3 linked regions of the Mus musculus genome follow. The protein of the gene in region 2 purifies or fractionates together with the protein of the main gene of each other region. This does not show direct contact. Links are inferred from orthologs where the notes say so. Each region holds a gene or a part of one and is shown on either strand. Other genes may lie near its edges.

The links.
Region 1: the proteins of Src (region 2) and Cdcp1 purify together in Homo sapiens (co-immunoprecipitation; 4 studies listed by BioGRID and IntAct, with this or other methods). This does not show direct contact. The link is inferred for Mus musculus from reciprocal best matches to the Homo sapiens genes SRC and CDCP1.
Region 3: the proteins of Src (region 2) and Arrb1 purify together in Homo sapiens (affinity purification with western blotting; 3 studies listed by BioGRID and IntAct, with this or other methods). This does not show direct contact. The link is inferred for Mus musculus from reciprocal best matches to the Homo sapiens genes SRC and ARRB1.

Annotation. Positions count from the first base shown.
Region 1 is NC_000075.6:123,184,934-123,188,582, forward strand, and holds part of Cdcp1 (CUB domain-containing protein 1 precursor), read right to left. Parts: intron 483-3,649; coding exon 120-482; intron 1-119. UniProt on the Homo sapiens protein: May be involved in cell adhesion and cell matrix association. May play a role in the regulation of anchorage versus migration or proliferation versus differentiation via its phosphorylation.
Region 2 is NC_000068.7:157,465,739-157,469,387, reverse strand, and holds part of Src (neuronal proto-oncogene tyrosine-protein kinase Src), read right to left. Parts: intron 3,516-3,649; coding exon 3,360-3,515; intron 1,958-3,359; coding exon 1,778-1,957; intron 906-1,777; coding exon 829-905; intron 264-828; coding exon 110-263; intron 1-109. UniProt on the Homo sapiens protein: Non-receptor protein tyrosine kinase which is activated following engagement of many different classes of cellular receptors including immune response receptors, integrins and other adhesion receptors, receptor protein tyrosine kinases, G protein-coupled receptors as well as cytokine receptors.
Region 3 is NC_000073.6:99,594,478-99,598,126, reverse strand, and holds part of Arrb1 (beta-arrestin-1), read right to left. Parts: intron 3,507-3,649; coding exon 3,369-3,506; intron 2,105-3,368; coding exon 2,021-2,104; intron 1,092-2,020; coding exon 1,068-1,091; intron 1-1,067. UniProt on the Homo sapiens protein: Functions in regulating agonist-mediated G-protein coupled receptor (GPCR) signaling by mediating both receptor desensitization and resensitization processes.

The sequences.
Region 1 (3,649 bases), on a different chromosome or scaffold from region 2:
ACACAAACAATCAAGCAAGCAAGCAACAAACACATTGCTGATACTGCATGTTGAATACCCTGGAACGTTCTGCATACATCCATCTGATCACACAGTGGGGACAGGAGGTGCATACTCACGTTTGATAGATGACCGATTTGCAATACTGAAGCCTGAGACGTTCCTGCGGTGGAACCAGGGCAGGTGTAAGGCCATTTTCACACCCTCTTGCATCTTGATCCGGGACACGGTGCCATTACTGCAGAAGGTCCCAATTCTGACCTCAGTGGCATCTATATGGCCACTGATGGAGTGAGTCACCCCGTCTGCACAGCTCTCGCCTGGTCCAATCTGCCTCAGTCGAGGGGTTGCGAACTGCAGCTCCAAGCCAATGCTCTTATGAGCTCTAACATCCCAGATGAAGGTTCTGTTGAGGATGGGTAGCTCTGATGTGGATGGCTGAAGATGAACCTCCCCAAAAGGACACGGGCCTGACATGCAGTCTGTAACATAGACACAAAAACAAGTTTTTGATCAGGGATACTGCAAGGCTCATTCTGCTCTTCCTCTTCAGCCCCTAAAGTAGGCTCTTTGGGATTGTGCCCAGGTGCTGTAACCACCCCTGACTGCTGGCCTTTAGTGCCTTGGCTGGGGAGTTATTTTGGATGAGAGAAGCCTAAGGCTTGGCCATGTTCTCATTCTGGGCTGCATACTCAGACTGAGACGGTCTGGCTCCACTGCCTCATGTGGTACAACCTGGGGCTGACAGTGTATCACTGCAGTCCTGGAACATTCTATGTCTCACCCAGGAGAGGCTGGGCTTTAGCAGAAACGATTATCCCATGCTCAATTTCCTCTGCCCCCTCTTTCACTTCCCTCTGGCTGGGCTGCTGCTTGGGGGGTGGGGGTGGGGGGCATTCCCTTGTGGTAGTTAATCTAAACTGTCAACCTGACAGAGTCTGGTATCACCATAGAAACAAATTTCTGGGCACATCTATAAGAGATTTTTCTAGATTAGATTAGTTAAGAGGGGGAAGACCCACCTTGACCGTGGGATGGGGTCTTGAACTGAATACAAAGCAGAAAATGAGCTGAGCACCAGCTCATCTTTCTCTGCTTCCTGACTAGAGATACAATATAAGTAGATGCCTCCTGCTCCTGGTGTTTCTTCACTATGATGGACAGGATTCCTTGGAACTCTGATCCAAGTAAAACCCTTCCTTCTTTATGTTGCCTTTGTAGAGGATTTTGACATAGCAATGAGATAAGTAATAATATGGACGCACACTCGCGCACACACACAAATCCACCTTTGTACTGAAGACACCAAACACTGTTTCCCAGACTCAGTGCTTGGTATCTGACCTTCTAAGGGAGCTACAGGGAGCCTGCACCTTGGAGTAACTTCCTTCCTGTATTTGGAAATTAATTTCATGGGTTTGAGGGCGTGCTGCCAGGCTTCACCTTTTAAGCTTCCTTTTCCTTCTACATCTCATTAACATACTGGGCATAATCACCTGATTCCCAAAGCAGTGAGCTCCCTGCTCTGAGGCTCTCTTGATTCCATTAACCCTGCAGAGAAATCATCTTAAAGCTAATAACTAATTACATCCTTTGATACGGTGTGTTTCCTAAGCCTTTTAAAAGGACAGGACTGTTACTACTAAGGAGGATTCAGGGAAGACTGAAATAAAAGAAAGCAGGCAAAGTCACTTCGGGTTTTTGTGTCGTACGTAGAGGACAGGAAGGTACAGTGGCCTTTGGTGGTGCAATAAGAACTTGTAGGTCCTTGTGCTCAACTTGGGTATTGGAAAGTGCCATTGATGGGGTTCAGGAAAACGCTTATTTTATGAGCACGAAGACCTGAGTTCAAATCACCCCCATAAAAAGGTGGACATGGGATCTGGGCAGTGGTGGCCCACACCTTTAATCCCAGCATTTGGGAGGCAGAGGCAGGTGGATCTTTGAGTTCTTTCTACAGAGTGAGTTCCAGGACAGCCAGGGCTACACAGGGCTACACAGGGCTTCTTGAAAAACCGAGAAGGAAAAAAATATGCAAAACTAGGCATGGCAGTGCATTCCTGTAACCACAGCATTGAGGGACAGAGGGAAAAATGGACCTAAGCTTCTAAAAGCCAGTGAGAGATCTTATCTCAAGGCAATAAGATCAATAAAGGAAGACACCCAGTGTTTGGTTCTGGCCTCTGCATGTACATGCATGGGTCTGGGTCTGTGTATGTACACATTCATGTGTATACACACACACACACACACACACACACATACACACACACACATGGTTTTCGAGACAGCGTTTCTCTGTGTAGCCCTGGCTGTCCTGGATCTCAGGCTGGCCTCGAACTCAGAAATCTACCTGCCTCTGCCTCCCTAGTGCTGGGATTAAAGGCATGTGCCACCATTGCCTGGCATATATACACCTCTTACACACACTCAAAACCTGGGTGGGACAATGCATGCCTGTAGTCACAGAGCTGGCTTGATGGCCAGTCAACCTAGCTATTTAGTGAGTCCCAGGTTTGGATAGATATACCATCTCAAAAACTACAGTGGACAACAGTAGAGGAAGACAGACACTGGACATCCACCTCTGGCTTTCACATGTATGGGCATGGATGTGCATGTACACACACACACACACACACACACACACACACACACACACACACACTCAACTCTGAATTGAATTAGGAGAAATCAAGAGCAGCCTAAGACCTCTGAGATCATCTACATCAAACCTCTCATTATTGCAAAGCAACCCTAGAGTTCACTTGGCCACTTGTAGATGCAGCTGACTCAGCACTGAAGCTGGGCTGTCTGTGGTCAGCTTGCATTCATGTCAGGGTGCTGCATGGCCAATCCAACAAAATAGGGTCAGATAAAGTGGTGATTAATGTGGCTAAAGTTAGACTTGTGTGTCAGTGAAGACCGTAACTATTTTAGGACCTCATACAAATGTCATTGTGTGTATGGGACAGCTCTTAGCTTGTCACGCGCGCGTGCATGTGTGTGTGTGTGTGTGTGTGTGTGTGTGTGTGTGTGTGTGTGTGTGTTGCTGGGCATGCAGAAGCAAGAGGAGAACTAAAAAGAATTGATTCTACCTTTCACCATGTGGGTTCCAGGAATCAAACTCAGGCTATCGGGTGTGGCAGTAAGTGCCTTTACCCACTGAGCCAGCTTGCTGGTCATCCTCTTATTTTCCACAGTCCACTGTGGGATCTTCGTCCCTACCAAGGCAGAGCTCCTGAGATCTGGTGCCTTAGACTTATCCATAGCTTGGGCTACTCAACAGTTTCTGGTTTGACTCTATACCAACAACTCAGTCAAGAACCTAGTCTCCAGCCTCAGCTTTGTTACTACACTCAACACTGGAAGAGTTGCAGGGAAGTGCCACTGTCCTTTGTCACTAAAAGCTTTAGTTTTTAGGATGAACGCAGAGATGGAAGTGGTTCATTGACAGGCATGGCTATAAATCTGCATTCTGCCCTGTGCAAAAAACTTAAGTATGTCAGACACTTCCTTTCCAGAGAAGGATGTGTCACTCAGAAGTGATTCAGAGCTCATTTCCCCAGCAGAACTCTACTTTCATACATTTTCATGGAACTGCTGCAAATTGAGAACTAATGTCAAACTCCATTCAAGGCTTCCAGAT
Region 2 (3,649 bases):
ACAAGCAAGAAAGCACAGGGTATCACTCACTACCAGTCTGCCGCAGGAGCATGACTCTCACTTCCACCTGACAGACGGATACCATCGGATAACCCCCAGGCACCCCCACCTTGCCGGGCTGTGTATTCGTTGTCTTCTATGAGCCGGGCCAACCCAAAGTCGGCCACTTTGCACACCAGGTTCTCCCCTACTAGGATATTGGCGGCTCGAAGGTCCCGGTGCACATAGTTCATCCGCTCCACATAGGCCATGCCTGAAGCGATCTGTGGAGACAGAGAGCCTGGCTCAGGGGCTAACCCACACCCGTCCCAGTGCTGTAAGCCGGTGTCTCGGGCTGGTTATTCCTGATAGAAGGATAGAAGGATGCCCAAACACCCTGCCCACCTCGTGTCTTTTCAAGCAAGGAACTTCATTCAGCTTATAATAAACAGCACTGGCTTGAAAAGGTAGACCAAAGCTCAGGGGGAGAGGGGACAGCAAAGGGCAATGGGAGGTCACAATAAGACACAGCCAGGCGGGCAGGCGAGTATATACAAAAGAGGCCCCAGATGACCCATAGACACAGATGCGTGCCAGGTCCTGCCTGTTGTCCCAAGACCCCTCTCTGTCCCTCGGTTTCCTCATCTAGCAAATGGAAGTAATAAATTTTAAACTTTTAATATTTTATTTTTATTCTTAATTATGTGTATGTGCCTCTGATTCCCAGATGTGGCGTACCACCCCAGGCGCCTGCCAGGTGAGAGTCTGGTGTAATGAAAGCAGGCATCCTGAAGGGGGCGCACTGAGCCCGAGAGCCAAAGGTGTAGGAAGGTGGAAGAGGAGACTCACCTGAGCAGACATGTCCACCAGCTGGGGTAGCCGCAAATATTTGCCCGTTTCCCCCTTGAGAAAGTCCAGCAGACTCCCTGGAGAGAGAGATCCAGCTCTAGCCTTGCCTGGGTCTCCCTGTGCAGGAAACTGTGGCTTCCAGACCCTGGCCAGGGCTGCTCAAAGGCCAAGACTCCAGGGAGCTAGATCAAGGAATGCTACTGGGCCCTTGGAGTAAGTGGGGTAGGGAGGAGGTCAGGCAGACACAACAGGGGGTTATAAGATGCAAAAGATCATGTGCAAAGCCCAAGACAAACAGGTTTATCAGGACCAAACCCGGCTAGCCAGTGGCTGCCTGAGGCTGAAGCTGGATGGAGAGTCACAGCACTAAGGACAGCAGGGAACTCTGGGGTAGGTAATGTGGATGCTGTACATATATTTTTGTTTTGAGACAGGGTCTCAAGCAACCCAACTCTATAGGCTGACCTTGAACTCCTGACCCTCCTACCTCTATCTCCCCGGTGCCGGGATTGCAGGTGTGTGCCTAATTCTTGCAGTACTGGGGATCAAACCTAAGACCAAACCCAGGGCCTTGTGCAAGCTAGGAAAGCACTCTACCAACCCAGCTACAACCTCAGCCCCACACTGCTGCTTACCAAGACAGAGACAGTCCTGCTATGTACCCAGCCTGGCCTCAAACTCACGATCTCCTGCTTCAACCCCCGGGCACTGAGATTACAGGTGTGTGCCACCAAACCAGCAACAACAGGGATCGTGACAGTGGGAAAGGACAAAAGAAGCCGTCTTTTAGAAAAAAACCCACTAGATTTGTTATTATTTACAAAAGGAGAGAGGCAGTCAGTCCCTGATGTAGCGTACACTCATTGGGGTGGTCTGGGGTAAGGAGTAAGTTGCCCTTGGCCCGCCCTGCGTGGGCACCTGAAAAGGTCACCCCGGGCTCAGACCTTACCCTTGTTCATGTACTCTGTCACAATGTAAATGGGTTCTTCCGACACCACAGCATACAGCTGCACCAGTTTCTCGTGCCTCAGTTTCTTCATGACTTGGGCCTCCTGCAGGAAGGCCTCTGGGGACATGGTGCCTGGCTTCAGAGTTTTGATGGCAACCCTCGTGGTGCCGTTCCAGGTCCCTGTCGGGGAGAGACGTGGGAACATGAGCACAGGCTATCATTCTGCTGCACTGGGGCCACCCAGGCGAGTCCACACAAGTGCCTGTCTCAATCTCTGCCTCTGAACTCAGGGCATGGGCTTTGGGCAAGGCCAGATACCACGCTGAGACTCTCCATTCACACTTATTAAATAGGCTCAGGGAATGGAGACCCCTCCCAGGGCTGTGAACTGTGTGTCTGGAGCCTGCTCACAATGTGACTGCTACTAGGATGTTGACTGCTTAGGACAGGACAGGAAGCCGAACAGCAGCCTGATGGGTGGGTAGTCAGTACCCGAGGCACCAGCAACCACAGCACGGGTCAGAGGAGGGAGAGGGCTGTGTCTGGGGTCACTGGGGGCAAGAGGTCAGCTCAGTGCCTGTGCTGCATTAGGCAGGGAGACCTCCCTGTCACAGAGACAGGTCAGAGGGTAGACTGGGTCAGCTCTCTAGCTGTGTCGGGTCAGGCCGGATGCCCTGATTCCCGGTGGTTGCTGGTCTGCGCAGAGCTCCAGGGAAAGGTGGGAAGCCCTCAGATTCCCACCACACACCAAGAATCATAGATGAGGTTGAGAAAGACCAAGGCCGTGGCTCACTCAGGCTCTACCCAAACCCTCCTTTTGGTCTCACCTTAAAAGCTGGCTTCTCCCTCTGACCTTCCTCCTCACAACCCAAGACTTCCCTTGCCTACCTGACCCGGCCCCTCCAGTGCCCTCTGAAAGGAAGATGGTGAAACGGCAACAGCCACTACAGCCCCATAGTCCCCCTCTACTCGTGGGTACCCGGGTAGAAGCAGCCATAGCAGGGAGCCTGGGTTTGGCTAAGGCAGCTCGATGCTCCAGGAGCCTCTCGATGGCTGCACAATTAGACAGGAAACCGAACACTGACTTCCCACCACTCCCTCCGCACGGCACAGCGCTGTCTCTTTCTGTGCTGAACTAATATGCAGATGCCCCTTGAAGCTTGGCATCAGCCCCTTCTTCACATCGGGAGGCTGAGGCTTGGCGTGAGACCTGACCACACTCACTCAGGCCCTTGAGGACCGTGGTGCCCAGTCCCCAGGTGCGGCTGGTACACAGATGCCCTAGTCTTCATCTTCAGCAGCATGGGTTACAAGGAGTCAGGAGCCCACCTCAGTGCTGACCCTGGTGAGTCATAGCGTGGGGTGGGGGGCAGGGAGTGGGGTGAGGGACTGGAAGTGAGCCAAGTATGTTACATGCGGGGTTCAAAGTGTCACAGGAAAACAATTGTAACAAGTGTAACAATTTGTACAGTTAATGTTCAACAATAAAATGAAAAACAGCCCAGTTGTTCAGTAGAGACAATTAAAGAGAGGGACTCAGGGTCTTTGAGCTGGGATGGGGACAGGGGCGTGTGTTCCTTACCCATCCACACCTCTCCGAAGCAACCCTGGCCCAGCTTGACCTCCAGCCGCAGGGACTCCCGGGGGATCTCCCACGCATCCTTGGCCAATCCCTGGGTCTGAGGCTTGGATGTGGGACATACGGTAGTGAGGCGGTGACACAGGCCATCAGCATGTTCTGGAGATGGAGGCAGGGAATGGGGCTCAGGCAGGGTCCCACAGCAAGCTGGCTTCCCTGCCCTGTGTGTACGGCTCTATGTATCATGTGCACATTGGCTCTGGGGTCAGGCAAACACCCTCCTGTAGACATCT
Region 3 (3,649 bases), on a different chromosome or scaffold from region 2:
GGTTGAGGACAAGAACGGGCATTTGCATGATACAGAGTGTACCAAGCCCCTCCTTAGAACAACTCCTGCGATCCTCTTCACTACAGCCCTATTATTAAGATGCCCTAGGTTTAGGCACTCAGAGATTAGCCTCTTGCCTCAGGCTGCACAGCTATTGGCAGTAAGTGCAGAAAGACTCTGGCTCAATCACCCATCCCCTTAGCCACTGGATGATAAACAGAATTAAAAGACTGATTAAACGTAGCCCTGAAGGCTCCTCACTGCTAAGGGTGGCATATCTTAGCAGAGCCTCCCTAAAATTATGAGTGTCTCCAGAAAACACAACCACATCTTACTGGTCATGTTGCCAGCTGTGAAGTGGGAAGGGCCTGGGTGTGATGGACTGGTACAAGCCAGATACAGTCAGCCTTCCATGAAGCCATACTGGATGTGGCTGGAAGGACCTGGGACTCAGCCTTGCTAGGCTGTGACTAGTAAGGACACTACTGTCTCCCTGCTGGGACTCCAGTATACTGCACAAGCCTGGCCACAAGTCTGGACTCAAACTCTTTGCTGTTGGACACTGAAGAGATGGAATTGTCTCTTGATTCACTCAGATCTCATAGGATGAGTGACACAGTCATTGTGTGACAACAGGAGATCACACAATCATGTCTGAGACACACCCACCCCTACGTGTGGTCTGGGAGCAAGGGTAATTGACCACAGTTAGCCATGAATTCTCAGTGGAGTAGATGTCTGAAAGTCACGAAGGATGCATCTCTCGAACATCCTAGGACTCAGGTCAGTAATGCCGATGCCCCTACTAGGGGCCACTGCCTGTATCTCTGTTGTCTGCAAAGGTCCTGTCACTTGAGTGGGACGGAAAGCAGTCGAGGTGTTCTGCTAGAAGCCACATCCCCCAGCCTGTCCTGGCAGAGTTCCTGTTGCAACACATCCCCAGACTGAAATCTGAAATAACCCTAGATCCCTCCTTCCCTCTGGGTACCCTGTGGTTCTGATCAGCTGGGTCTATGACCCCAGGGCCTCCAGGAAGGTAGACAAAGCAGACAAAGGAGGGGCTTTACCTGGATGCAAGGTCTCCCAAGAGGCTGAGTGGACCAGAGGAGGCAGAAGAAGCGGTCAGGACAGAGTGCAGAGCGGGAGAAAAGAGAAAGGACATTCATTCACTGCTCCGCCACCCCGCCAAAGGACACGCTCCCAACCCCTGGGCAGCTGCCATCTCTTCTAGGGCACAGAGGGATGGGCTTGCAGAGCCCCTGGACCCCAGGATCTTCATCTGTAAAAACTAGTCTCCCTGCTTCCAGGCTATCTAATAGCAGAAGGAAGACTTTGGGGAGGTCAGTAGAAAGTGAGAAGACTGTGGGTCCTGCAAAGTCACAGAACACAAGACTGTCCACGGGGCTTAGAATTGTTCTGTTATATAAAGTCAGTATTAACACTGCCAGCCGCAGAGACAATATTCTTTGTCAGTCCACCTCAAACTCACTATGCTGCCAAGAATGGCCTTGAATGCCCGCTCTCCTGCCTCTCCCTCCCAAGGGCTATGACCACCTTGCACCATCCTTGGCTTGGAGGCATTGCCCTAACTAACGCTACTTAGTCTGTCAGCAGAACTATTTAGGCTTCATTTTTCCCCATCTATAAAATGGGAAAGTTAGCCAATTAGGAACCCCCCCCCCAATTCAGCTCTGGGTTTTTCGATCTCCGAGAGCCGTGTGTGCACACTGTGTCCTGAGATGTGAGGAAGTCCTTGTAGCCCGAGAGTCACGGCACAGTCTGAGGACACCCAGATTCATATAGGCTGTACCCAGTCCCCAGAGCCAGACTCGGGCCTAGGCTAAGGAGCAGGAGAGAGGGATAGAGATGGAGGAGAGGAGGCGCTCCAGCCAGTGGAGAAGAAATCAGAGGAGGGGAGAGAAAAGCAAGTCCTTAAGTCTCGCCTCCTCAATGAGAAGATGCAGCTAAAGGCCAAGCAAGCAGGTGGGACGAGCAGGGGTTCTGGGACAGCTGGACTTACCCGCCCCGGGACACCACCAGTTTCACCTTGACTTTGTAGGAAACGATGATGCCCAGGATTTCACGGTTGGCACCTTCCCGCAACCTGCAGGAAGACGGGGAAGCTGGACCTTGGGGCTCCTTGGTGGGCGGAATGTGGTAGGCATTGGCATATGTTGGGAGGCACCACTGTCCATCCATCTCCTGAGCCTCCAGGTCCAACAGTTAGGAAAGGGAGCTGAGCCCAGTGCACTGGCACTTGTAGGCCTGGATTCTGTTTATGTCCCTCTTTGTGGTACTGGAGATTAAATCCACAGTCTCATGCCTGATGGGCAAGCGCTCTACCACTGAGCTATGACCCTAGTTCCTTGGGTTCCACATCTAGCGATAAGATGTCCTTGTTCTGTAGCCCTAGTGGACTCTCCTCCCTGCCTCACCAGTGCCACACAGTGCCGTGAGAACAGGCCCTAACCGCCCTCCCACCACTTACTTCTCTCACACTGCTTATGCTCGGTAACCCACAAGCAGAAAGAGCCACACTGAGAGCTGAGAAGCCAAGGGTAGCTGGGAGTCAGGGTAACATGGGAAGGATATGCTAAGTAGATACCTGGTGGTGGGGTGTTGAGGGCAGATCAGGTACAAGTCAGAGTAAAAGGAGGACAAAGAGCTTGTTGGTAAATGGGAGGCCTATGAGGGGTGATAATGTGATTGTCTAGCCTGAGCCAAGTCTGAGAGTGGGGAGCGTGGTCTCGGAATCAACAGACAAAGACCAAATCCCTTGCAGAGAGCCAGATATCATCAGAGGGAATGAAAGTCCCCCCACAACTGTCTGAACTCTTCTAGGGTGGGACAACCCTGAAGGCTCAGTGATGCCCATGGACCAAATGGCCTAATGGTGCCTCATGTGGAAGGACCCCCATATCTATACCCAGTTCCCCTCTTTTCCCCAGCCTCTCCAAGCCCCCATTTATCTCCTTCCAGTACTCTTCTAGAAGCGATTCTCTCCCCTCCAACCCTGACAGCATCAGGGACACACCCCAGTCTGTATTCAGGACTTTGGGCTAAGAGCTGCCAATTCTTAAAGAAAGCTTTTCTGGTTGTGTCCCCCAGAGGCAAATGATGGGACCCGGTAGTCTTTGGCTGGGTGGGTAGGAGTAGAAAGAGATCCTCCCTGGGTAGCCACACTCCAGGGGACTGGCCCTAGTCAAGACTTGGGCAAGAGCCTAAACCTCATCCTCATGGTGGTGGGCCAAGAGGGTGGGGCCCCGTCGTGGAGAGGGCACCGGGGGGCCTGGGACTCACAGCATCTGGGTCTTAGGGGCGGGCTCTCACTCATAGCATCTGGGTCTTAGGGGCGGGCTCTCACTCACAGCGTGCTGGAAGCCAGATTCGTGTCCTCATGCTTGAGCTTCCCGTCGAGGGCGAGTCCCCGCTTCTCTCGGTTGTTGGCCAGGAAGGGAGTCAGCGTATAGACCTTGCAGAATGTTGAGCTGGGTGCCACATTGTCACTGGGAAGTAGAGAGGCAGCATGAAGATGACTCTTATCACAGCCAGCCCTAACCCAGCCAAGACGCCTGGACTGGCCCTGTTCCACAACGCCCTCTGCCAGCAACCCTTATCTCCCAGATGCAGGCAACCACTTGGGCTGAGC